4 linked regions of the Caenorhabditis elegans genome follow. The protein of the gene in region 4 interacts with the protein of the main gene of each other region in a pairwise test. Each region holds a gene or a part of one and is shown on either strand. Other genes may lie near its edges.

The links.
Region 1: the proteins of sem-5 (region 4) and ftn-2 interact in a two-hybrid assay, tested with the Caenorhabditis elegans proteins (3 studies listed by BioGRID).
Region 2: the proteins of sem-5 (region 4) and C11E4.6 interact in a two-hybrid assay, tested with the Caenorhabditis elegans proteins (3 studies listed by BioGRID).
Region 3: the proteins of sem-5 (region 4) and src-2 interact in a two-hybrid assay, tested with the Caenorhabditis elegans proteins (3 studies listed by BioGRID).

The regions. Positions count from the first base shown.
Region 1 is NC_003279.8:3,679,678-3,682,513, forward strand, and holds ftn-2 (Ferritin), read right to left. Parts: upstream 1,251-2,836; 5' UTR 1,223-1,250; coding exon 1,166-1,222; intron 1,118-1,165; coding exon 764-1,117; intron 715-763; coding exon 613-714; 3' UTR 503-612; downstream 1-502.
Region 2 is NC_003284.9:9,608,943-9,616,578, forward strand, and holds the start of C11E4.6 (ANK_REP_REGION domain-containing protein), read left to right. Parts: upstream 1-1,620; 5' UTR 1,621-1,633; coding exon 1,634-1,758; intron 1,759-1,805; coding exon 1,806-2,145; intron 2,146-2,335; coding exon 2,336-2,566; intron 2,567-3,081; coding exon 3,082-3,430; intron 3,431-3,545; coding exon 3,546-3,860; intron 3,861-3,908; coding exon 3,909-4,220; intron 4,221-4,268; coding exon 4,269-4,397; intron 4,398-4,635; coding exon 4,636-5,156; intron 5,157-5,578; coding exon 5,579-5,749; intron 5,750-5,819; coding exon 5,820-6,042; intron 6,043-6,147; coding exon 6,148-6,278; intron 6,279-6,402; coding exon 6,403-6,548; intron 6,549-6,603; coding exon 6,604-6,847; intron 6,848-7,331; coding exon 7,332-7,466; intron 7,467-7,509; coding exon 7,510-7,636.
Region 3 is NC_003279.8:14,320,269-14,328,275, forward strand, and holds the start of src-2 (Tyrosine protein-kinase src-2), read left to right. Parts: upstream 1-1,968; 5' UTR 1,969-2,018; coding exon 2,019-2,264; intron 2,265-2,312; coding exon 2,313-2,434; intron 2,435-3,294; coding exon 3,295-3,416; intron 3,417-4,201; coding exon 4,202-4,399; intron 4,400-5,034; coding exon 5,035-5,105; intron 5,106-6,760; coding exon 6,761-7,024; intron 7,025-7,083; coding exon 7,084-7,372; intron 7,373-8,007. UniProt on the Caenorhabditis elegans protein: Non-receptor tyrosine-protein kinase which may play a role in larval and pharynx development. Unlike src-1, does not play a role in embryonic development.
Region 4 is NC_003284.9:7,958,914-7,963,297, forward strand, and holds sem-5 (Sex muscle abnormal protein 5), read right to left. Parts: upstream 2,811-4,384; 5' UTR 2,800-2,810; coding exon 2,722-2,799; intron 2,672-2,721; coding exon 2,571-2,671; intron 2,400-2,570; coding exon 2,277-2,399; intron 2,230-2,276; coding exon 2,122-2,229; intron 2,074-2,121; coding exon 1,937-2,073; intron 1,438-1,936; coding exon 1,298-1,437; 3' UTR 540-1,297; downstream 1-539.

The sequences.
Region 1 (2,836 bases), on a different chromosome or scaffold from region 4:
CTAGTCAAAGGTTTGTTTAATTGCCAAATTCTGCAATAATTTCCGAAGTAAATGTGAAGCTTCAGTGGCAAAAATTGAGTTAGCACAATTCTTTGAACAATTATTGAAAAATCAAATAATAGAAAATCTTACTGTTAGAGTTAAAACTGATGTGTTTCAATTCATCCATCACACCTTCCGAATCAATCTTTCCCCAGGAAAACAAATCAAAATAAACAAAAGCGGAGGAGAATGTCCTTCTTTTCCTGGCGAATCCATAACTCATCTCGCTAACCCATTTGCATCGCTTCTCGATTGCAAAAAAGTCAAACAAAGGCCGATGGAAATCTTCTAATCTGCCTGCTTTTTGCACTTCACACTCATTCCTATTCTGTTCCATTTTCGATTTCGAATTCCGAGAATTTTAAAATCGTCTTTGGAAAGTTAAAGACCAAACGGCTTATCAAGAAAGATTGTGACACGGAATTAGTATGATAATGAACTGTGGCAAACAAAAACGCTTCGATCAATACTTTTCATTTGACAGATTGTGGCATGTTTGTAAATTTTCGCAAATAATTATGTACAGAGAGAACAAAAGAAGATGCGATGAGCAGATAAGATATATATTAATTAATCGGAAAAGTGTTCCTTATCGAAGACGTACTCTCCAACTCCTGGTCCGACTCTCTTGAGGTTGGCAACCATGCGGGCGAATTCGTTGATAGATTTGACCTGTTAATTTCATCAGATTCTAAATTAAAAAAAATAGAATAATCCTCACCTGCTCGTCCAAATATTTCTCCTCGATAAAGTCAGTGAGATGCGCGTCGTTGTGGTTTCCGGCTGTCGAGTGCAACTTCAGAAGCGACTCGTTGTTGAACTTCTCGAGAGCCAACGCGGCTTCAAAAGCCTTCAAGGCGGTTCCCCACTCATCATTCTCTGGCTTCTGGATGTCCTGAAGCACGACACGTCCTCCACGAAGATTCTGCACACGCATGAGCTCGGTAGCATGCTCACGCTCCTCATCCGATTGTTCCTTGAAGAACTTGGCAATGTTTGGAAGGGCAACATCGTCACGATCGAAATAGAATGACATTGAAAGGTAGACGTATGAGGCATAGAGCTCAATGTTGATCTGAAAAATTAGGGGATTTAGTTTAGAAACATCGAAATAAAGACGTACCTGCTTGTTAACGGCAGCTTCAACCTCGGAGTGGTAGTTTTGACGAGCGAGAGACATTATTGATGGTAGTTTGTGGCTGGTAAGGCTGCAATACTGCTCAATGAGCATAAATAGTTGGTATTTAAGCAGGAAAGGGGTGGAGCACGTCGGGAGGCGGAGACGGTGTGCATCTTATCAATTGATAAGGAACAAGGTTAAGGAAAAGAATGAGATTTTGAGAAGGCAAAAAAACTATGATCAGCGTCAGAAAATGGCAAAAATCAAGTGAATTGGAAGAAAAGGAAGATAGGGCAAATTAAGTGCGAATGAAATTAGAAACTTCGAAAATGTGATCTCAAGCGAAAAAGTTGAATTTTTTGTTATTTGTTCTACTTATTACGGAACACAAAATTCTGAAAATGCGTATTTCGCAACATATTTCACGCGCAAAGTATCTCGTAGCGAAAACTACAGTAATTTTAAATCGACACAAGCGCTACAGTAGCCATTTAAAAATTAGTGTGGATTTCGCTTCGAGATATTTTGTACGTCAAATATGTTGCGCAATACGCATTTTCAGAAACTTGTCTTCCCGTAATAGTATTATGCTTCAACTTAAAAGTTCCTTTATTAGGGGAACCACTCGCTTTCGAAATGCGTATTGTGCAACATATTTGACGCGCAAAATATCTCGTAGCGAAAACGATTTTTGTAATGAATTTCTGTGCCATCGATATTCAATTTTTCGATTTTTGTCATTTCGATAAATAAATTATTTTAATACATTCCGAAAATTGAGCCCATAAATCGACCTACAGTAGTCATTCAAAGAATTACTGTAGTTTTCGCTTCGAGATATTTTGCGCGTCAAATACGTTGTGCAATACGCATTCTCAGAATTTTTTAAAGTAATAATAAAGTGTTTTTAGTGTTCAGGAGTTACAAGAATCTAAAATTCAAGCAAATAACATACGACTGAGAGAATCCAGTATAACTCCGAGTTTTGATGAGTGGTCTAATTGCATTCTTAGCGAGCATTCGAACAGAATTCATTTTTAAAAATGAAATATATTTTGAAGAAAAGAAGAAGAAAAACGAATGTTAAAAAGTGACGTGAATTCGGTCATGATTATTGAAAAGGAATGAGTAGAAATCGGAATCTTTCTGTTATGTGTACAATCTAGGTCGTATCCCGTGATTTCTGTTTGTCCCTGACCCTTTTTTATCATCATCGGTGAATCGATAGCAATGAAGTAGGAAAGTTGATCATCATTCTGCCATCATATCACGTGAGTCGTCACCAAATGGAGCCGGGGGTTTTTGTGTGTGTGCGTGCACAGTTGAGATGCTGATAAGATAGGCTACGTGAGTCGCTTATCAGGCGGTACGTGCTCTCTGTCGTCGCCGTTTGACGAATGTCTTTTACTCTTTTTGTCTTCGTTTTTCCATTGATCAACTAATCAAGCAGACATTTATGATAACTCAAACCTTGACAGATTTTTTCTTTAATTACATCAGATATCTTAATTCTGAGAATGCGTATTGCGCAACATATTTGACGCGCAAAATATCTCGTAGCGAAAACTACAGTAATTCTTTAAATGACTACTGTAGGTCGATTTACGGGCTCTATTTTCGAAACAAATTTTTGTTCGAATTGTGACAACGATATTCAATTTTCTTTAGTTTTTT
Region 2 (7,636 bases), 1.7 Mb from region 4:
TTTGATTAACATAAGGACAATTTTTCTGTAGAAAGTGAGCAGAAATAATCAATTTTTTTTTTAAATCACATTGGAAACTAAATCCTCAACGCAATTTTAGATGTTTGAAGTGATATGTGTTTATTATTCACCTACATATGCAACACGTTGGAAACACTTATTACAACTTAACAGCACGGGTTTATCATTCTTCCTTCCTTCCACCTTCTCCTCTCAATTTCCACCCTTTATCTTCCCTTTACTGCACTTCATAAGTGCTTTTATCTCTTTTTCTTTTCCTCTCGATTTGCAGCATGTCATTATCTTTTTTGTCGTATATGTTTAAGTCAACGATTATTAACTTCAATTTAAGCATCGACCGTGTATCCTGTGCTATTATGTTTTTGTTGTTTGAGGCTATTTTGAAAAGTGCACAGCCTCCTCCGCATGTGCTCACTAGTTCTAATTGAATTTATCTGATTATTCGAGGAGAACCTTCTCAGATGCATAGAGTTGGTTTTTGTTCAAAAAATTTTTTCTTAGTCAGAAGTTAAATGTAATGTGCACCCATCACTGATCATAGTACATATGAATATAAAGTTTATTCAGCGAAGTTAAGGATTCTAACATGTAAAACAGCTGAATTATTTAAATTAGGAAAAATCGGTTAAAATCACCTTGAAAAATGTTGCCATATTGACTATAGCTATTAAGTAATAATTTTCTAAATGGAATTCATATTAATTCAGCTGGCAAATTTGGAAAAGTGTTTTGTCACCATCATGTTTTATTTTTATTTTTTGTAATTCAGTTAAATTGTTGGACGCTATGTTTTTTTGTTGAAGAATTGACACGAAATTCGTTAAAACTATAATTATCATTTTTTAAGAACATATCCGACAACTTTTCGTGAGAGCCATTGCAGTTTATAAAAGGTATCTTGTTCTAGTGGTACATTTTAGATGTAAACTCGCAAAGAGCTGATAATATGAGGAAAATCTTCACTATAATTTTTCACCTAAGAATATCCTTGATGACTACAACTCGAACTCAATTTTCCATAAGCTACTATTAAACTTTTTTTTCCTACATTGACCATTAGTAGTATTAGCTGTAGTTATATTCTTTGTTGTTGTTGTTGCATCCAATGCACTCCTAGACCGACAAAAATTGCAAAGAAGAAGAGGAGAAAAGAATGTGTAGTTTTGTGGAGTTGTGAGTGACCGGCCATCCACATTGCGCCCTTCCTATTCCCATCACCCTGCTTTCACCACTCTTGTCGAGATTTTGGTGAAAAGCGAGTAAAATGCAATACATTACGAGGCATTCTTCGCGCGGGAGGAAACCCGGGGACCCCCTTGCTTTTCATCTACAACACTCCCTTTTTCTACATATTTCGCATTTCCTATCTTTTTATGCATTACTACTTCTTGTGGACCCCTTGAGTAGCAAAATACAACTACATCTCAAAAAGAGAAAGTAAACAAGATTAAGACAAAAAACTATATGTGTTCACAAAATCTGTTCTTTCTCCTATATTCTATCCGTCTTTTTTGTTTCCTACTTTTCTTTTTGTTTTTTGACATGAACATCTGCTTTCTCTTTTGTCCTAAATTAAATTCTGAATCGATCATTTTACAGGAGCTCAGATGAAATGAGCCTCAAAGACTTTGTCATATCAAAAACCGAAGTAATCGATGCTTGTAAAAAAGGAGAATATGATAAAGTTGCGTTGTTTCTCAGCTCGAAAAAGGGCAAAAAGATTCGAAGCGGGCTGAAGTAATACTTATTTTCTAATTTTCAAATAAACTATTGATATTTTTCAGATTTTTCACAACGCGATCAGACAGTCATTGGCTCGCCGACTACAAAGATGAAAAATCTGACTTCACCTTACTCCATCATGCGGTTCTCGAGAATCAAAATCAAATCAGTAAACTCCTTATGGACTACGAACCACTTCTTTTACTGTGTAAAAGTACAAAAAATATTTTACCAATTCACTTGGCCGCCTGGAATGGGAACTTGGAGATTGTGAAAATGCTTCTTTTACAAACAATGGAAAAGCCCGCAGATATTCTGAATGCAGTGAACATTTTCAATGAAACTCCACTTCATCTTGCAGTTCAGAGATGTCATCTTGAAGTTGTGTTCTATTTGATAAAGGTAAGCAAAGATAACTTTGAGAATTAAAACTATTCGACTGTGAACAGGAACAACATTCATATCTATAATAAGTTATTCAATTTTGCAATGCGTTTGACGTTTGATTCTTGTATAGAGATTAAATTGTTGACAGATTTAACAATTGTTAGCTTGAAAAATCACGTATCGTTTCAATTTCCTTAAATTTCAGAAAAATGCCGACCCCTTCATTCGTAATGAAAACAAGGAAAATGTGATTGACGTTGCATCACGCATTGGATCTGCTGAAGCCATCAGAATGTTGTGCCAAAAATGGCCAAAGTTTCCTGTGCAGTCAGCATATGAGTCTCTTCGAGTTGGAACACCGGACATAAAACGGCCCTTTCCGGCCATATACCCATTTCACCTTGCAGCAAAGTATAATCACGTTGAGTGCATGCAAGTGAGTTGCTTTTTCCACTTTGCTATTCATTATTCAAGAATTGAGTATAAGAGTAAGGGTGATGCAGAATAGTTTACTCCTTGCGTGAATGTTGGTAGCAATTTGAGAATAGCAAAAAAACGGGGTTAATTTTCTGATAGGCGTGTTTCATATGAATCTGCAAGTTTGTACAATGTTTACAAATTTGAAATTCGAAATAGATTCGATAGTAACATGCTTATGATTTCATTTTCATAACTCATCCCAAAAAACGTTTAGTTTGAAATATAAACACTCAACAGATATTTTTTTGACTGTGCACTTATGCGTCACGGTGTTTGCGGTTTTCCAACAAAAAAAACTATATTTTCTGTAGTAAATATTTTGAAACACTACTATTTATTATTTGTATTTTTGTAGTTTAATCATAGGTTTATAAGACTCATATGTTCTGTAGATTTTTTTAGTTAAACAAACCCAATCAAATAATTTACTGTTTCACTTAAATGAAAAATGTACTAAATGTTTAATTTCAGGCTCTTCGTGAACATGGTTTCTCCATTAACTACACTACGGAAGATGGGACAGCTCTACATGTGGCTTCTGCTTGTGGACAGGCCGAGGCAGTCAGGTTTCTGCTGGAAATTGGCGTGAACACTGATATCAAAAATCAACACGGACAAACAGTGCTCCAAATGATCATCGATCTCCAGGAGAACCGAAGGAATGAAATCGCCCATTTTGTAAAAAATCCGGAAGGATGGAAGGAATGTAGAACAATTATCGAAGGAATGGATAGAAGAGACTCTGGAAGAGAAACCGAAGGAAGTCAAAGTGACAATGAAAGAGAAGCAATTTGGCAACCACTTCCAAGTCAAGCAAGCGGTGGGTTATTTTTAAAACTAATAATATGTGCATTGTAAGGAACATTTCGGTTATCAATCGAGTTAAGCTCAAAGTTCAAAATCTGAATGATAAATAAAGTTATTCACGATTTCAGTTCAAGTATACCCGGATCAACGAAGAAACAATCATTCCATCTACCAGCCACCTTCTATTTCTGCAAGACTGCGAGATTTATCCCCCGACGACTCTACAGAAGCTTTGAACAGTGTTCGATCAGAGGGGCCTTACACCACACACTCTATCAATCGTACATGGAACAGTTCCATGTTAGACAGAGCTCCAAGAACTGGAAGGTTCCCGTTGACATCGCCTAGTTATCACTCAAAGCATTATTCGTGTCAAAGATCCAGCGATACATTGCCAACGAGGCTGAAAAATGTTAGAACGAGGCCAACAGAAAAGCAAATAGGTAATCTATTATCGATATTCTGAGTTTACGGATTGACTTTATTTTCAGCTTCTGTACTCCCGGGAGATAATTGTGCATACAACTCTCCTTCAAAATTCAATGAATGGCAAAAGAGTCAACTGACCATTAGCAATCGTCCGCCAGCACCATATGACAACGTTCCGAACAACTCTGCAATATTCGTCCGCCCCAACTCACCAATAGCAAGATCTGCATCACTCCGTAGACAATCCGGATACGCAACACTTCCAAAACTTGCCACCTACTCTCCAAGAATTCCAGATCATGGTCGTCCTGACCTGAATGACGCCTTTATTCAAGACCCAGACAAAACAATGGATAGGTCATTGAATCGGAACCGTAAGTATAGGAAACGACTCTAATTAATATAAAATAAAGACTTTTAAGAGTTTTCTATTTCCCGAACTACGTGTGATCGTGAAGAATCGCTGGGATTGACGCAAAGTCCAAGACTGGACACCAGAGCAAGCAGCATAACATCATCCTTGACATACGCGTGCTCGACACTTGACAAAGGTAGGCATTTTAAGCAAAAATGGAATGATTTAGGGGCATACGACAACCTAAAAAATTTCTAGCATATGATGTACGAGTTGATAAGTTCGGGTAGATTATGAGAAAACGAATCTTCCAACACTGATCTCATGCTCGGTATCTTGTTAACTCTGAAAAAAAACTTTGGTCAATGACAAGGAAAAAATCATTTCCTAAACTTATGGAGTCCTGAAGTCAATCTAAATAAATGCAATTTCAGATAAGTTCTTCCGGGAACGCGAACGTGATAACGGCCGTGCACCATTGGCAATGCCAGAAGAAATAACAGGTTCAGTGACAGGCAGTGTCATTTACAGCCAAGGAAATGCGAATCAACATCTAAATGGGAATTATGAGAAAGACAACAATGTGACTGCAATTTTTTTAGAAGACGTGATGAGACCATCATCAAACTCTGCCGAGAGCCCACCTTCCCCAAACACCTCTAAAGCATTCATCTTTGACGCGTTATGTGGAAAATCTCGGCTGGTTGACTCTACAAATGTTGATTTCTTCTCTGGATTCTCGTCATCGTCAAATTTGAGCCACAGAAGCACTGAATCAACGTCGAAGGTGCAGATGAATAGCAGTTTCACTGAGCCGGAAGAGCCTGTCCGAATCCGCCGTCAAAATGGAACAACGAACCTTATGCTGAATTCACTTTCACCCACAGATAATTTGTCGTCCCCCTCATCAGACCAGAAATCAGACACGACCAGTGAAGAACCTAGTTGGGATAGGGTAAGTCGATCAGGGGACAAACCAATTTTTGTTTATTTTTTCGTAACAATGGCGTATCTGCAAAAAGCACACGGATTTTATGTTTCTCAACAGTTTCTCAATAGTCAGCTATTGTTAATGTAAAGAAAAACAGATCAGAAGTTTTTTTTAATGATAAAAACCTGCACTCGCTGTGCGGGCTTAATTCTTACGGTGTATTTGAAATACAGAGCCAGAAAAACTGTAATAGGTCAGTCTTTTTTGTGTATTTGCAAAGCTGGGTAGCGGGAATAAAACGCAGTAAAAAATAACGGCAGCGCCTAAACGTTTGTGCGTTTTTGGATTATCAGCATTAAACAACAAAAAACGATTTAAATGTCAATTCTATAATTTCAAATTTGAAAAAAGTGTCAGTGAAACTTTGTTAATTTTTTGTATAACAGGTGGAAAGTGTATTCGATTCGTTTGGTGCAGCTCCATGTCGTGAAAGTGTTTTTGTTCGTGAATACGAGCCACGTGTGGCAGTTTACTTACGTGATCGTGGGTCGAAAGCGTTGAGCGTAACACTTGTCGAGGATGAGTTCAGAGATCACAAGTCGCTTCTTGTAAAAAAGGTACTTTTAGTTACATTTTTGTTTCAACTTCCATTCATGTCACGTTTTACACCGGTTGTTCATGTTTCAGCAACCAAAAACAATAATTGAGTGGTTGGAAAGTGATGTTATGTTAGCCCCAGTAGCGGCTGATTCAGTTGGAGCACTTCTTCAAACTCATGGATATGATAGAATGGATCAACTAAAAGGGATAATAAATAGAAGTATCCTTACGGAAATCGGAGTAGATGACGTCACCAAGTTCAAGATAATGTCAGAGATTGAGAAATTGAAGGATGATGTTGCTAGTGCTGGTTGGTTTTTTTTTGAAACATAAAACACATTCATAAAACACATTTACTCTGCCGGAACATTTTAAGAAACCTTCATCAATTTTTCAAATCACTTTTCAATTCCAGGACGTTTCTTCTATGTTAGTGAATGGCTCAACTTCATCGGACTTCAAGATTACATTTCCAACTTTGTCGGTGCAGGATACAAGCATATGGCAAAATTGACAGAAATTGACTGGGACACGGCAAGATTGATGGTGAGTAAATTTGTTCAAATAACAACTTTTGTGATTTTAAGATACTTTTTATCACTGATTTCGCGTTTATTAATCAAAAAATATCCATAGACCTGTGATAATTGTTGCATATTTTTAATTTCAGCAACTCGGTGTTACTCGTCCTGGTCACATTGCTAGAATGCTCCATTCGTTCAAAAAAGCAGAAGACGAAAAAAGAAAAGAGTACAATAATCGACTACAGATTAAGCCATTAATGTCACCTCCTCCTCTGCCGCCAAGGTCAAAACAGTAAGTTTTTAATGAGAAATAATTTTCAAAAGAACAAACATTCAACAAGTTTCAGAAACAACTGTGCTGAATGCCCACAAGGCGATTTTGACAAGATCAAGAACAAGTTGCTGCAGGGCAACGTGGTGTATCGTGCACACCACCTCGGTGTTCTGGAAATTGGAGAAACCGAATGCTCTGATGAAGCTCATGCAGCTATGACAAGAATCAAAGAGTCGATAATTGACTGGGAGACTATTCCACGGGTTACTTTGGATTTGACTTGCAATGGAATCACTATCTTCGATGAAACTTTTAAGGTAATGATTAAATTATCACCTAATGGAATTGACAAATTGTAAAAGTTCAGCAGAACTGAGAAGCGGTTAAAGAATAAGGGGGTCGGGAAACAATAATTTAACGACTGATACACCTGCATTCGTTGCAGGAAAGTTATGACGTGAAAGTATTTCATAAAATCTGATTACTTATGAAATATACTTATACGATGTGAAAAAAACACAAAGATATTTTAATCGTATGGTATTTCGGAAATTGGATTTTAGAAATAGAACATCATATTTCTCGAACCGAGAATTCATATTTTGTTTGTGTTTATCAATTTTATCAATTGTATTTTCTCAGCAGACGTTAGAGGTTGAGACGTTTTTTGACTAGTCTAGGAAATTCGCCGCAATCGGATATCAGCTGTAGGCCACAAAAGACCACCCGCAATATTAATTTGATTAGAAAATCCGAAGCGTTGACAAACTTGCCCCCCGATTAATCTCAATGATTTTTTAGACTCTACTTGACGGCTATGGTGTCTATACAATAAGAGTCGTATGTCAGGATAGAAAGGATCTCAACTTCTTCTGCTTTGTTGCAAGGGACACTGAAAATCGTTTCTTTTGTCACACTTTCTGTGTGCTGACCTCGGTATTTCGCACAAATAATGCCTTAGAAAAGTTCATATTTCTAGGGAATTGCCGCAGAAATCATCACCACAATCGGAATGATGTTTGAGCTCAGAAGCAGAATGGACAAGTCTCTGCCAATCGAAGGAACAATGGTACGATGCCGGCATAACAGTCAGCAAACTACTGAGA
Region 3 (8,007 bases), on a different chromosome or scaffold from region 4:
TCAAAAAATTTGAAAAATTTTAATAAAAAGTTTACCGATCCAATGAAAGCTTAAATCCCTAGCCTGTTAATCAAATCTAATTTGATAATGACAGCTTCATCATCCTCTCTCTCTCCCTGTCCTCTCCGCGCGCAAAAAAAGATGTTTTCCCACCAGCGCGCGGGCGCCTCCGCTGCTGTCGAAATTGCCATTTTTGTAGGTCTGCGTCTCTTGGGATCAGTATGCTACCTGCAATTGGGAGTTTAAGGCACGCGCGTTCCGCAAATGTTTGCTAAACGGCGCGGCGGAGAGAGGGAGAGAGAGAGAGAGATGCCTGACCTCGGTGGACAAATAGTGAGAGGGATGAAGAGAGAATGAGACAAAAACAGTTCCCTCTTCTTTTTCACCCCAAAGACGGTGGGCTAGCCAGCAACCGGCTAAATGAATTTCTTTCCGGCTTTTGGGTTTTTTACCTAATATTTTGTATTTTCATAGTTCTTATTATACAATTTTCGCCAAAGATAGAAAATGTAGTTTTCCTTTTAGGTCCCCCAATTTTAGATTATACTACTACTTTGGAACATAGTTTTTAGGCCTTTTTTAAAAGATTTTTTAGCTTTGGCTGAAAAACTCCTGGAACTGGGAATTTTGGCCCAGAAAATTGTGACGTCAACACGTTCTTAACCGTGCGACAACAGTTGGCGCATTTTTTGTAGATCACACCGTTATGGGACACTCTGACACCTTGTCGGAATATTGTTAGCCTAAAAAACTTTGATCCCTAAATTTTGTTGCTCACTTTATTCGAGAGAAATTTCAGTTTAAATTCTAGGCACTGAAATTATAATAGTTCTCGATTAATACTATGAGTTCCTTTCCTGCTTTATTGTAACCTTTTAGCTTGAAATTTTACTTTAAAAACTGAATTTTCTACTCTAGAAGATTGATATATTGAAAAAGTTGTAACTCATATATTATAATTTAGTGCCAATTTTACGGTCAAATTTTTTGATTTTTATTAGCTGACAACTTTTCATATTTTTCAGGATAAAATAGATATAGTAGTAGTCCAGAAAGTTATTTTTATGGCTCCTAGAAATCCATACAACTCTTTATTGGGGCTAGATGTCAAAAAGTTGTCAACTAAAAAAATGTAGCAAATTTTATGCGTAATGTATTGTTAGTTGACAACTTTTTTATATTTATTAATCTGAAGGTGTTATAGTCGATTTAATACAGCTAGTTAGTCCTAGCTTGCCCCTGAAACCCCATAACGAAGAAATATAAGAAAATTTCGCATTAAGTATTTTATTGGTTCACAAGTTTTGTGTTATTTCTTTTTTGAAACTAGTCCAAAATTATTTTTACTTGACTGATCATCTTAAAAATTTTTGCAAGTTTTCTTGGGCCCTTTTTTTTAATCGCTTACAAAGAAATGCTCCAGGCTCCTTTAAATTGTGCAGCAGACATTTATCGCTGCATTTTTCCAAATTCCCACCTAAAGTTTCGCTAAAAATGAATTTTCTGGATTTATAAACCCTGTAGCTCCCCAGCGTGTCAAGTAGTCAGAAAGTTTTTAACTGATAAAACGAAGTAAGCTTTGAAATCTACAATTTTTTAGTTGACCACTTTTTGATATATATATATCAAAAAATAGATTGACATACCAAAAAATAGATTGGCATATCAAAAAATAAATTGGCATATCAAAAAACAAATTGGCATATCAAAAAACAAATTGGCATATATATATATATATATATTTAAACGATTCATGGCAGTTTAACGCCCACACCTATTTTGCCCTGGCTCCTGGAAACCCCTATAACTATAACTTTAATTGGTGCTAGTGTCTATCAAAATGTTGTCAACTCACAAGTTGTAGTAAATTTAATTTTTTTGATCTACAATTTGCTAATTGACAATTTTAAAACGCTATATTTTGTCCAGCGAACCCTAATGAACCAGAACTATCTAAATTTCTTCCAGAACCTCCCAAATCAAAAAACTGACGACACCAGGATCGTCCGTTCCTCCCCATGGGATCCTGTATTGGAAAAGAGGATCCACCGCCTGGTGCAACGTCACCAGTCCACACGTCATCCACGTTGGGAAGGGAGTCACTGCCAAGTCATCCACGAATTCCGTCCATCGGTCCGATTGCGGCGTCTTCCAGTGGAAATACGATTGATAAAAATCAGAATATCTCGCAATCTGCGAATTTTGTCGCTTTATTCCAATATGATGCACGGACAGATGATGATTTGAGTTTTAAGAAGGATGATGTTAGTTTTTTATTTTATTTTTTGAAACTCCATATCTCATTCTTTCAGATCCTTGAAATTCTAAATGATACCCAAGGAGACTGGTGGTTCGCCAGGCACAAGGCAACTGGACGGACTGGGTATATCCCGTCGAATTATGTTGCCAGGGAGAAAAGTATCGAGTCACAGCCGTAAGTTTTTTTTTTTTTGAATTTTTAGCCAGCCTAGGGAGAGAGGCCGGACTTGAACTTGTGACCTCCAGATTGCTGGTGGTTACCACTACCTACTGAGCTATCCAGCGCCTCTTTGTTAGTTGTCACAGGGGCTTGATCAGGTGTAACTAAAACTGTCATAACTCCTTTGGCTTGTGAGATACAAAAAAATTGTCAACTAGCACATTGTAGAGCAGAAAATTTCCTACATTTTGTTAGTTTAAACTTTTTTGATAGCTAGCACCAGTGAAGAGTTATAGCACTTTAGAGGTGTCAGCGGGGAATCAGAGCAGGCGTAGAAATGGTTCAACTCTTTAAGTGTATTTTTACCGGCAAAAGTTGTCAACTGACAAAATGTTAATTGTAAAATTTACTACATTTTCGTATTTTGAACCTTTTCAGTAACTTAATGTTTGTAGAGTTACATAGCTTTAACGAAATTTTGAAAAAAATAACATTTTTACGAAACTTAGAAAAATTCCAACTCACATTAAAACCTTAAAACTCGAATAATTTTGTAGTTCACTGGTAGTAGTACCTAAAATCAAGTACTTAATATTCCCTATATTTTGTTAGTTGGCGACTTTTTAATATTATAGCTAACACCATTAAAAAGTTATAGGGATTTCTAGAAGAAATCCGTGTAGGCCTTAAAACTATGATAACTTTTTAAAATTGATTGATATCAAAAAGTTGGCAACTAGCAAACTGTAGAACATAAAATTTGCTACAATTTAATAGTTGACAACTTTTTAATAGCTTGCTTTATTGCAGAGTTACAGGGATTCAAAAAATAAGATTTTAAAAATCCGAAAATCTAAATTTTTACAAATTTCCAGGTGGTACTTTGGAAAAATGCGGCGAATCGATGCGGAAAAATGTCTATTGCACACTTTAAATGAGCACGGAGCATTTTTAGTGAGAGATTCCGAAAGTCGACAGCATGATTTATCATTATCAGGTCAGTGAACTTTTAAGGGCGCCCCATAGGGCACATGGCGGGCGAAAACCGGTTTTCTGGGAGAGATAATCAAGGTCGGATACAACAAAATGAGAAAGGCGCGGTGACAGTAAGAGGCAGAAAAGAGGTTATCCCCGCTCGCCCCGACCTTTTATGATTCCGAAAGTAATGGGAATTTGGGAGAAAGGAGGCAAATTGGGAGATTTTGATGGGTTTAGATGGGTAATTTGGGATGGGGGAATTTAGATGGAAACTGTCAAAAATAGATGGAATATACATAGATGTTTATTTAATTTTTAAAACTTTTTTTAAAAAATTCGAAAAATCATTTTCGATTTTTTTAAAAAAATTTTATTGAATTTTTTGCCAATAATTTTCTAATTTTTTAATAAATGTTTTTTGAAAAACTGATAGATTTCATTTTTTCTGAAAGTATTACAAAAAGTTTTTATCTTTATTTTCAATTTTACAATTCTGAAAAATTATAAAAAAATATGTATTTCGTGCTTTGTAGTTTGTAGTTTGTAGTTTGTAGTGTGTAGTTTGTAGTTTGTAGTTTGTAGTTTGTAGAAAACCTTTCAAAGCTCTTTTGAGAGTTACCAAAAAACGTTTTTTTGGGAATTTTGAATTTTTCAAATTTATAATATTTCAGTATTTTTTTTTCCTTTGTAACATTCCAAAAACTGTCAAAAAAAAAACAAACTCATCAAATTCCAAGTTTTCTTAAATTTGAAGATTGTAGTTTGTAGTCCAAAATCCCCCTATTAATCCCAATTTTCTTGCAGTCCGAGAGAACGACAGCGTAAAGCACTACCGTATCCGTCAACTGGACCACGGCGGGTATTTTATCGCCCGGAGGCGCCCGTTTGCCACGTTACACGACCTGATTGCACATTACCAACGAGAAGCCGATGGTCTTTGTGTGAATCTGGGAGCTCCTTGTGCCAAGTCAGAAGCCCCACAGACAACGACATTCACATATGGTAAGCTGGAAGTTTTTATGCCTGACAGGTGCCTACATCTGCCTAGATGCCTACTAGATACCTCGGTGCCTACTACATGCCTAGATACCTTTTTCATGCCTAGATACCTACGACATGCCTAGATACCTACTACGTGCCTAGATACCTACTACATACCTAGGTAACTGCTTGATGTCTAGATGCCTACTACATGTTTAGATACCAACTATATACCTAGGTAACTTATTGATGTCTAGATGCCTACCAAATGCCTTGATGCCTACTACGTGCCTATTAACCTACTACATTCCCAGATACCTACTGCATGTCTAGATACCTACTACGTGTCTAGATGCCTACCTGATACCTAGGTGCTTACTTAATGCCTAGATTCTTACCAAATGCCTAGATACCTACTACGTGCCTAGATACCTACTACTTGCCTAGATACCTACTACATACCTTGATACCTACTACATGCTTAGATACCTACTACAAACCTAGGTAAATCCAGTAGGCAAAAGGCGAACCTAATTCAGGCCAAAGTTGACTTAAAGGTAGGCAGGCATTATTGTGCCTACCTACTAGGCCAAACAATTCCAGGGACCCACAAGGCGCCCAGTTACCTTTAAAAATGTTCAAAATTCCCATTCCAGATGACCAATGGGAAGTGGACCGCCGTTCGGTTCGTCTCATTCGACAAATTGGAGCCGGGCAGTTTGGAGAGGTAAGCATCATCATTCTCTTTCGGTTGTTTGCTTATTCACGTTGCCTGCCTGCCCGCCAGCCCCACAGCCCGCCAAATAGTGTGCACAGGCTCATCCTCCTCCTCCTCCTCCTGTTGCCTATTCCGTTCGTGTTTGATGTATATTTGTGTGTGTGTGTGTGTGTGTGTGTGTGTGTGTATAGAGAATTGATGGAGAACGAGATAAACAGGAGAAGATATGCTAATTGAGTGGGGGTAAGGAGATGATCTTAGGGGAAAATTGCAGGGGGGGGGGGGGGGGGGTGGGTCCCCGATGCACCATGTGTAGCCCCAAATTACAATTGTTAGGGTAGAGCCTGAAAAATTTTAGGTTTTTTTGTAAAAAAAACCCCAAAAAATCGCATGAGCAAGAATTTTTCTTGATATTTCTAGGCGCACGGGGTTCTGGCCTTCCTTATTGATTTTTTCGCGCTCCATTGACCTGGACAACGCGTGGGAAAATCGTGCACTCCACACGGACAACTACAACAAGTTTTAAAACTAAAATCGAGCCGCGACGCGACACGCAACGCGCCGTAATTCTACCCCAGATATGGCCGATCCAAAATGGCCTTGTTCGGCAAACTCTTCCATCTCAATTTATGAGGGGAGCCAGAAATCCGTGTAGGCGCTACTTTACACTCAAAATAAAAAAAAACTGCGTGGCGTGTACTGCAGAAAACCTAATATTTAGGCCCCGCCTTTCTCTCGTCCACTTACGGAGAAACGGCAAAAATTTTGACCCCAACCAATATCAGGCCGCCAACATCTCACGGGTTCCGCGCGTCGCTGCGTTTAACTCGCAGCGGGCGGAGACAGCTCGTCACGCCCACAGCAAGTTAAACGCAGCGGCGCGCGAAACCCGTGAGATGTCGGCGGCCTGATATTGGTTAGGGTCAATATTTTTGCCTTTTCTCCGTGAGCGGACGAGAAAAAGGCGGGGCCTAAATATTAGTTTTTTATTTTGAGTGTAACTCCCAGAAACCTCTCAGCCTATGGACTAAAAAACTTCAGGCTTTTATTTTTCCGTGTTTTTCTTAATCCAGGGGCTTTTAGTGTAGATCCTAAAACAACCGGATAAAACGGTTTCCCCTTTTTCTATTGACTTTTCCATCTCCTGATCCGAGCAGCTACAGCCGCCAATATTGAAACAGATAGGACCGGTTTGAAACATGATATCACTCCCCTACAAACATCAGTTCCGCTAGGAGATCTCATAAAACGAAGGGATCTGGAACATAGAGATTTACCACTAGGGTTATAAGGAAATGTCGATGCACCATGAGTAAAAACTCAACCTCGAATATAGATAGCAAGGCCCTAAAATGAATGACAAATGTTCTCATTAGAGCGCACTTAAATTTGCAAGCATGAACGAAAATATGAGTTTTGTAAGAAATTTAATCTATGAAGCTTCAAAACCATGCGAAAAATGGCTAAACATACGAAAATTCTTACTACAGCTTACTAAAGTGTGTGTTTGAACTTTGAACTTTTTACCTAACCCCGCCCCCCCCCCCCTTATGCTTGCATGTTTAAGTGCGCTCTAGTGAGAACATTTGTCATTTTTTAATTAGAGCGCACTTGCAAATCAGCTTGCAGATCCTGGATGTACTACATAAACCATCAATTTCCAGGTATGGGAAGGCCGATGGAATGTGAACGTCCCCGTCGCTGTGAAAAAGCTAAAGGCCGGAACCGCAGATCCTACGGATTTCCTAGCCGAGGCACAGATTATGAAGAAGCTCCGGCATCCGAAGCTTCTGTCCCTGTATGCAGTCTGCACACGTGATGAGCCGATTCTTATAGTCACCGAGCTAATGCAGGAGAATCTGCTCACATTCTTACAGCGACGAGGTCGGCAGTGTCAGATGCCTCAGCTGGTGGAGATCTCGGCGCAGGTGAGGTTCACGTTCGGATTCCTCGAAATTAAAAAAAAATTTCAAAAAAAGTTTTGCAGGTTGCCGCTGGAATGGCCTACCTAGAGGAGATGAATTTCATCCATCGAGACCTAGCAGCACGAAACATCCTTATCAACAACTCCCTATCTGTAAAAATCGCAGATTTCGGGTTAGCCAGGATATTGATGAAGGAGAACGAGTACGAAGCAAGAACCGGAGCACGGTTTCCGATAAAATGGACGGCGCCCGAGGCGGCGAACTATAATCGATTCACAACCAAGTCGGATGTCTGGAGTTTTGGAATCCTGCTCACCGAGATTGTCACGTTCGGACGGTTACCCTATCCAGGTGAGGATTTGAACCGACCCGTTTGATCTACACGAATTGCGGAAATTTAGGCGCAGACTTTTCAACTGATTTCGCATGGTTAAGAGTGTGCTGACGTCACCATTTTCTGGGAGAAAAATTCCCGCATTTTTTGTAGATCAAGCCGCAATGAGACAGCCTGACACAACGTAAGATGGTCTCATTGCCGCATGACCTCCAGAAGTGGCGGGAATTTGAATTAAAAATTTTGACGTCATATGAGCTTTTTTGAAAACTAACATCCCGCCTTTTATTGAGGTCAAATTATTTTTTTTACAAAATGGTACCAGTTCGCTAATTATAAAAATTAAGTCCCTTATTGAAGGGGCCTTGAAAATTTCGCAAAACTTTGGGAATAGGTCGCGTCAACTAAAATGTGGAATATTCCTGCGCCCTTCGCCGTTTGATCTCCGGGAATCGCGGAAAATTCAAATTTTGAAAAATGCGATGTAGCCTAAGTTTTACTGTAGAACGTGGTGTCAGAGTGTCCCATTTCGGTTTGATCTACGTAGATCTACAAAAAATGCGCGGAGTTGAGACGCAGAGTTCTAAAGTGATTTTTAGAACGAAAAACTCCCGCATTTTTTGTTGATCAAACCGTGTAGTACCCCAGAAAC
Region 4 (4,384 bases):
ATATTGTTACGTTTTCTTTCAAAATTCAATTGTTAATCAAAGGTGTGGTAAAGCAAAAGACATTAACGTTGCTTTAAAAAAATTGAGAGCACTATTGCATTTTTGAGACTCACAAATTATAATTTAAAAAAATAACTTAAAATTTAGAATAAATTGTTATCTGGTATATCCAAGAAATAAGTAAAGACGGCGCGCTTTTTGGTTGAAAAAAAATTGATTTTTAAGTTCGAAAAACATACCACTTCACCTTTTCCGTTGACAAAAGATTTCACAACCCATTACGCTCATTTTAATTATTATCATTGACTCGTTATAGAATTTTAACTAATGGTTTAATTTCGTTTTTAGAGCCGTATAAACTTTAAAACTAATCGGAGAAGACTTTTATTAAAATTCGAAATGTCTGAGTATTTTGTTCAAACTAGCTTGCAAAATGTGAAAATGTCATTAAAGGAAACTCCACATGCAAAATTTTCCAGATAAACTACTTTGCATCTACAAATTATGTTCTGTAAAAATTATAGAAAGTGGATTAATATAATAATTATTAACCTTCATTGATTTACAAAGGGATTGGAAAATACTTGACAAATTCGATATAAAAGCAAGACGGCGAGTAAAGTGGGAGGCAGAGAGAAGCTTCATGATGCTCTCGACAAGAGATTGAGCCGGAGGAATAGAATGAAGTGATAAAACTATATCAGAACAGTGTGAGTTGTGATAAAACCGAACAATGTAGCACCGAACGAAAAATCGTATTGGTTTTGGATGAATTGCAAAATGTCAAAAGAAAAAGAGAGACAATGACGAGAAATGGCAAATAGTTATGACAAAAATTGCATGAACACAAAAAAAAACAAATGCGAACAGTCTCTGAGTATTGTGTCAGAGTATCTAATCGCTTAATAGATCCGTAATAGAATTGGTGTGGGGTTGGAAGAAAGCGGGAAAGAAAAGGCTGTTGATAACACAACAAGAATTGTATCATTGCCAACGAAACCGAACAAAAAATCGATAAAACATTGCCAATGGCAGTTCCAAGTTGCAAAGAATAAAAACATTGAAAATTCATGGTCTACATGTAAAACACGAACAACTTATCTCAGTTTTGAGAAAGTTGTGAAATTAATACCCAGCATTGGAAAGTGTGTTTGTGACAAGATTTAGTGATTATTATTGGAGATTAAGTAAGAGAGGGCTTATTAGACTACTATGTCAAGAACAAATGGTATAGAAGAAACATTGAACGCTCCTTTTAAAGAACGAACAGAGACAGGAAAAATCCTAAAATAACGTCCTAATTTCCAAAGTTGAAGCCAGGAGCCACGTTGGAGTTGCTCTTATTGCTATTGTAAGGGCATACGTAGTTGGATGGGAAAATTCCACGCCTGTTGTTCAGCTGTCCTTCCCACCAGTTTGGATCGTCTTTGTTGATCACTGAAAATAAAATATAAGAGATTTTCTAAATGTTTTATTTTTCGGGGTTGCTCAACCCCGACAAATAGATGATCAACCGATTAACTCTATTTTTACGTTGTGAACATTCATAATGCTGCAAATTGTATCTTGAAATCCAATGTTTCTCCGAAAAGTAAATAATAGCCACAGAGTTTTTTCATTTCAATTTGAGTTTATACAAAAACTAATCTAACAACTGATTTTCAATACGTGCATTTATTTGTTCCAGTGAAAGTTAGTTTAAGCAAGACGTCTCATATTATCTTCCTAGTACTTTGTATTACCTTTTTGTTATTTTTATGGTTCTTCTTAAATATTCTTGTTTTAAGATCTATAAAGTGAATAGTTTCAAAATTTTCGAAATACAGTCCAAGATATATCCATTTTTACCATTTTCAATTAAACCTAGAATTTTTTGATTCAAACTTTCAATTGAACATTTTAAAATCATGAAAATTTGTGTTTCAAAAACACTTACAAGTGATAACATCTCCTCTTTTGAAAGCTAGCTCTCCACTCTCCTGTGGGTTGAAATCAAACAGGGCCTGTACAAATTTAGTCTCCACATTCATATCTGACAGCAATATTGTGTGAGTACGCGAAACAGAAGCGGTTCTGAAAATTATTGATTTTTTACTTTTTTTTTGAAAAAGTGTGACTCACCTGTGATAAGCAACTAATTCATTCAAAGAGTTGAATTTGACAGCCCACAAGTAATATTTACCATTTTGATCACGCAAAACTTTGAAATGTTGTACAGAATCTTGGAATCTGGAAAAAAATGTATAACTTTTTGAAAATCTATAACATCTTCTTACCGAACACTGATCGAAAATTCTCCTGGACTACTTTCACACTGTCGGACAAGGAAATGACCATCACGTACGGTTGGCTTTTTCAGCAATACTTCTGCGTCATTTCTTGTTATTTTACCAAGGTACCTAAAAATCCAGAAATTTTAAAAATTGTTTACGCAAGCGTTCTCAGTTCTTCGCGCCCTAGCTGCGGGGTATACAAACAAAAACCGCGAGAAGTAAGATCGACTGATTTTTAAAATATAAGCTTATAGATTAAATCCTCAAAAAAGTCAAACTATTTTTTCCCGAACATACCAATTGCATTCAGTCATACGAATATAATTAGAAGGAATGAATCCTTCATTTCCATCCAATTCAGCTTTATACCAATGTGGATCTTCATCTTTGTTCAAAACCTGCAATTATTGATTTTATCAGGGCCCGGTTATGATATTGTTGAACAAACTTTTAGCGTGTTTCCTCTCTTGAAAGACAACTCATCAGGTGATCCCGCCTGGAAATCATGCTCGGCGACCGCCTCCATCGTCTCGCTACCTGAAATATACTCTTTGCAGCTTCAGAAACAATTAACACCAAAATAAAACATAACAGAGTACATTGAACAAACATTGTTGTCAATAAATTGGCCTGCTTGAGAGACTGTATCTACATATCGACATATCCGCGCGGCGCCAATGAAAAATTATTAGAGCAATAAAAAAATCTAGCGGCAAAGCATAGAGGAACAACTGAGAGGGAAAATGAGAATGAGAAGAGCGTAGTGCAAATTGTAACAGGAGATGAGTAAGAGGACCGGCGAGAAAAAAGAAGGATAAATGAAATTGAGAAACGCAGAACGCAAAATAAAAACCCGCAGGGTCACTAGTTCGGTGATTGAGGTGGTTTTAGTTGAGTGTTTGAACGTGAAAACGGGGAAACAGTGGAAACAGTAGAAACCGGAGAGTAACAAACCGGGGCAACACTAAGTGTCGTCGATTCCGGCGCATTGTATGCAACACTAAATGTGCCGAATGCTACGACACTACTTTTCTCTAATACTCCAAATCTATCACGCGTTCTTCGTGTCTCTTTTTTCTCTCCCATCTTCGCACTGTCTCTATCTGTCTCTCCCACACACACACAAAAACAACGGCGAGTTTGGGCAGGCCGGACCGTACTGTTTTCCGCAATGAGTTCTGTAATTTACATGGTTTCAAATGGAGATTCAGAGAAAAAAGTGCGATACGCTATCAGCAGTCATCATGCACGTCTTTTCTTACACTTTTGAATGAATGGCCGGAGAAACGGAAAAGAACAAATGAAAAGTGATAAGAGAACACGAGAAAACGAAGAAGAAAGAATCAAATTGAAAATGCTCCAAGGCATTGGGTATTGCAATTCATCGATTAGAAGAATGTCAACAAACACACTCCCACCTTGTCCTGTCCAGCCTGAGGTGACTAACCGTCTAGAAATCAAAACATTTGGGTGTGCTGGGTAGTCAGTACCGATTCTCTTTTCAAAAATAAAAATGAAAACTATTTCGGAAATAGGGCTAGAGATGATAAATTAGATAGGAAACATAAATAGATTGCAACTTCAATCAAATTTTTGAACTTCAGTTGCTGGAAAATTATTTAGCAGTTAAAAAATTTAATGAAAATTACGAAATAAGACTATAATTTAACCGATATAAAAAAGATAATCGAACCTGTGACAGTTACTCATAAATACTTGACATTTTAATCGGTGAGTGTACGTAAATATAATAAGGAATAGTGTTTTCTAGCTGGAAACCAACTGTATTTACTACTAGTTAGTTTGACAAATGTGTATTTACCTGACTAATACAAAATCGTAAGAACAGTATCTATAGTAAAACTAATATATGACTGAAATTAACTTTTTTAAGAACCAAAATATTAAATTTTGTCACTGGTTCTTTAAATATATCCATATAACTTTTCTGAAAATTCTCACTGTTTTACAGTGTGAACTTCCAAGAGCAAGGTTATGTGACTGATTTGTCAATAAATTTACTAGGTTCCGTAGTCGGCAACTCGTGGCCACTTCTCAACCTACTTTGGCCACTTTCTAACTGCCATTAGATTTCCACCACTTCCCACTTC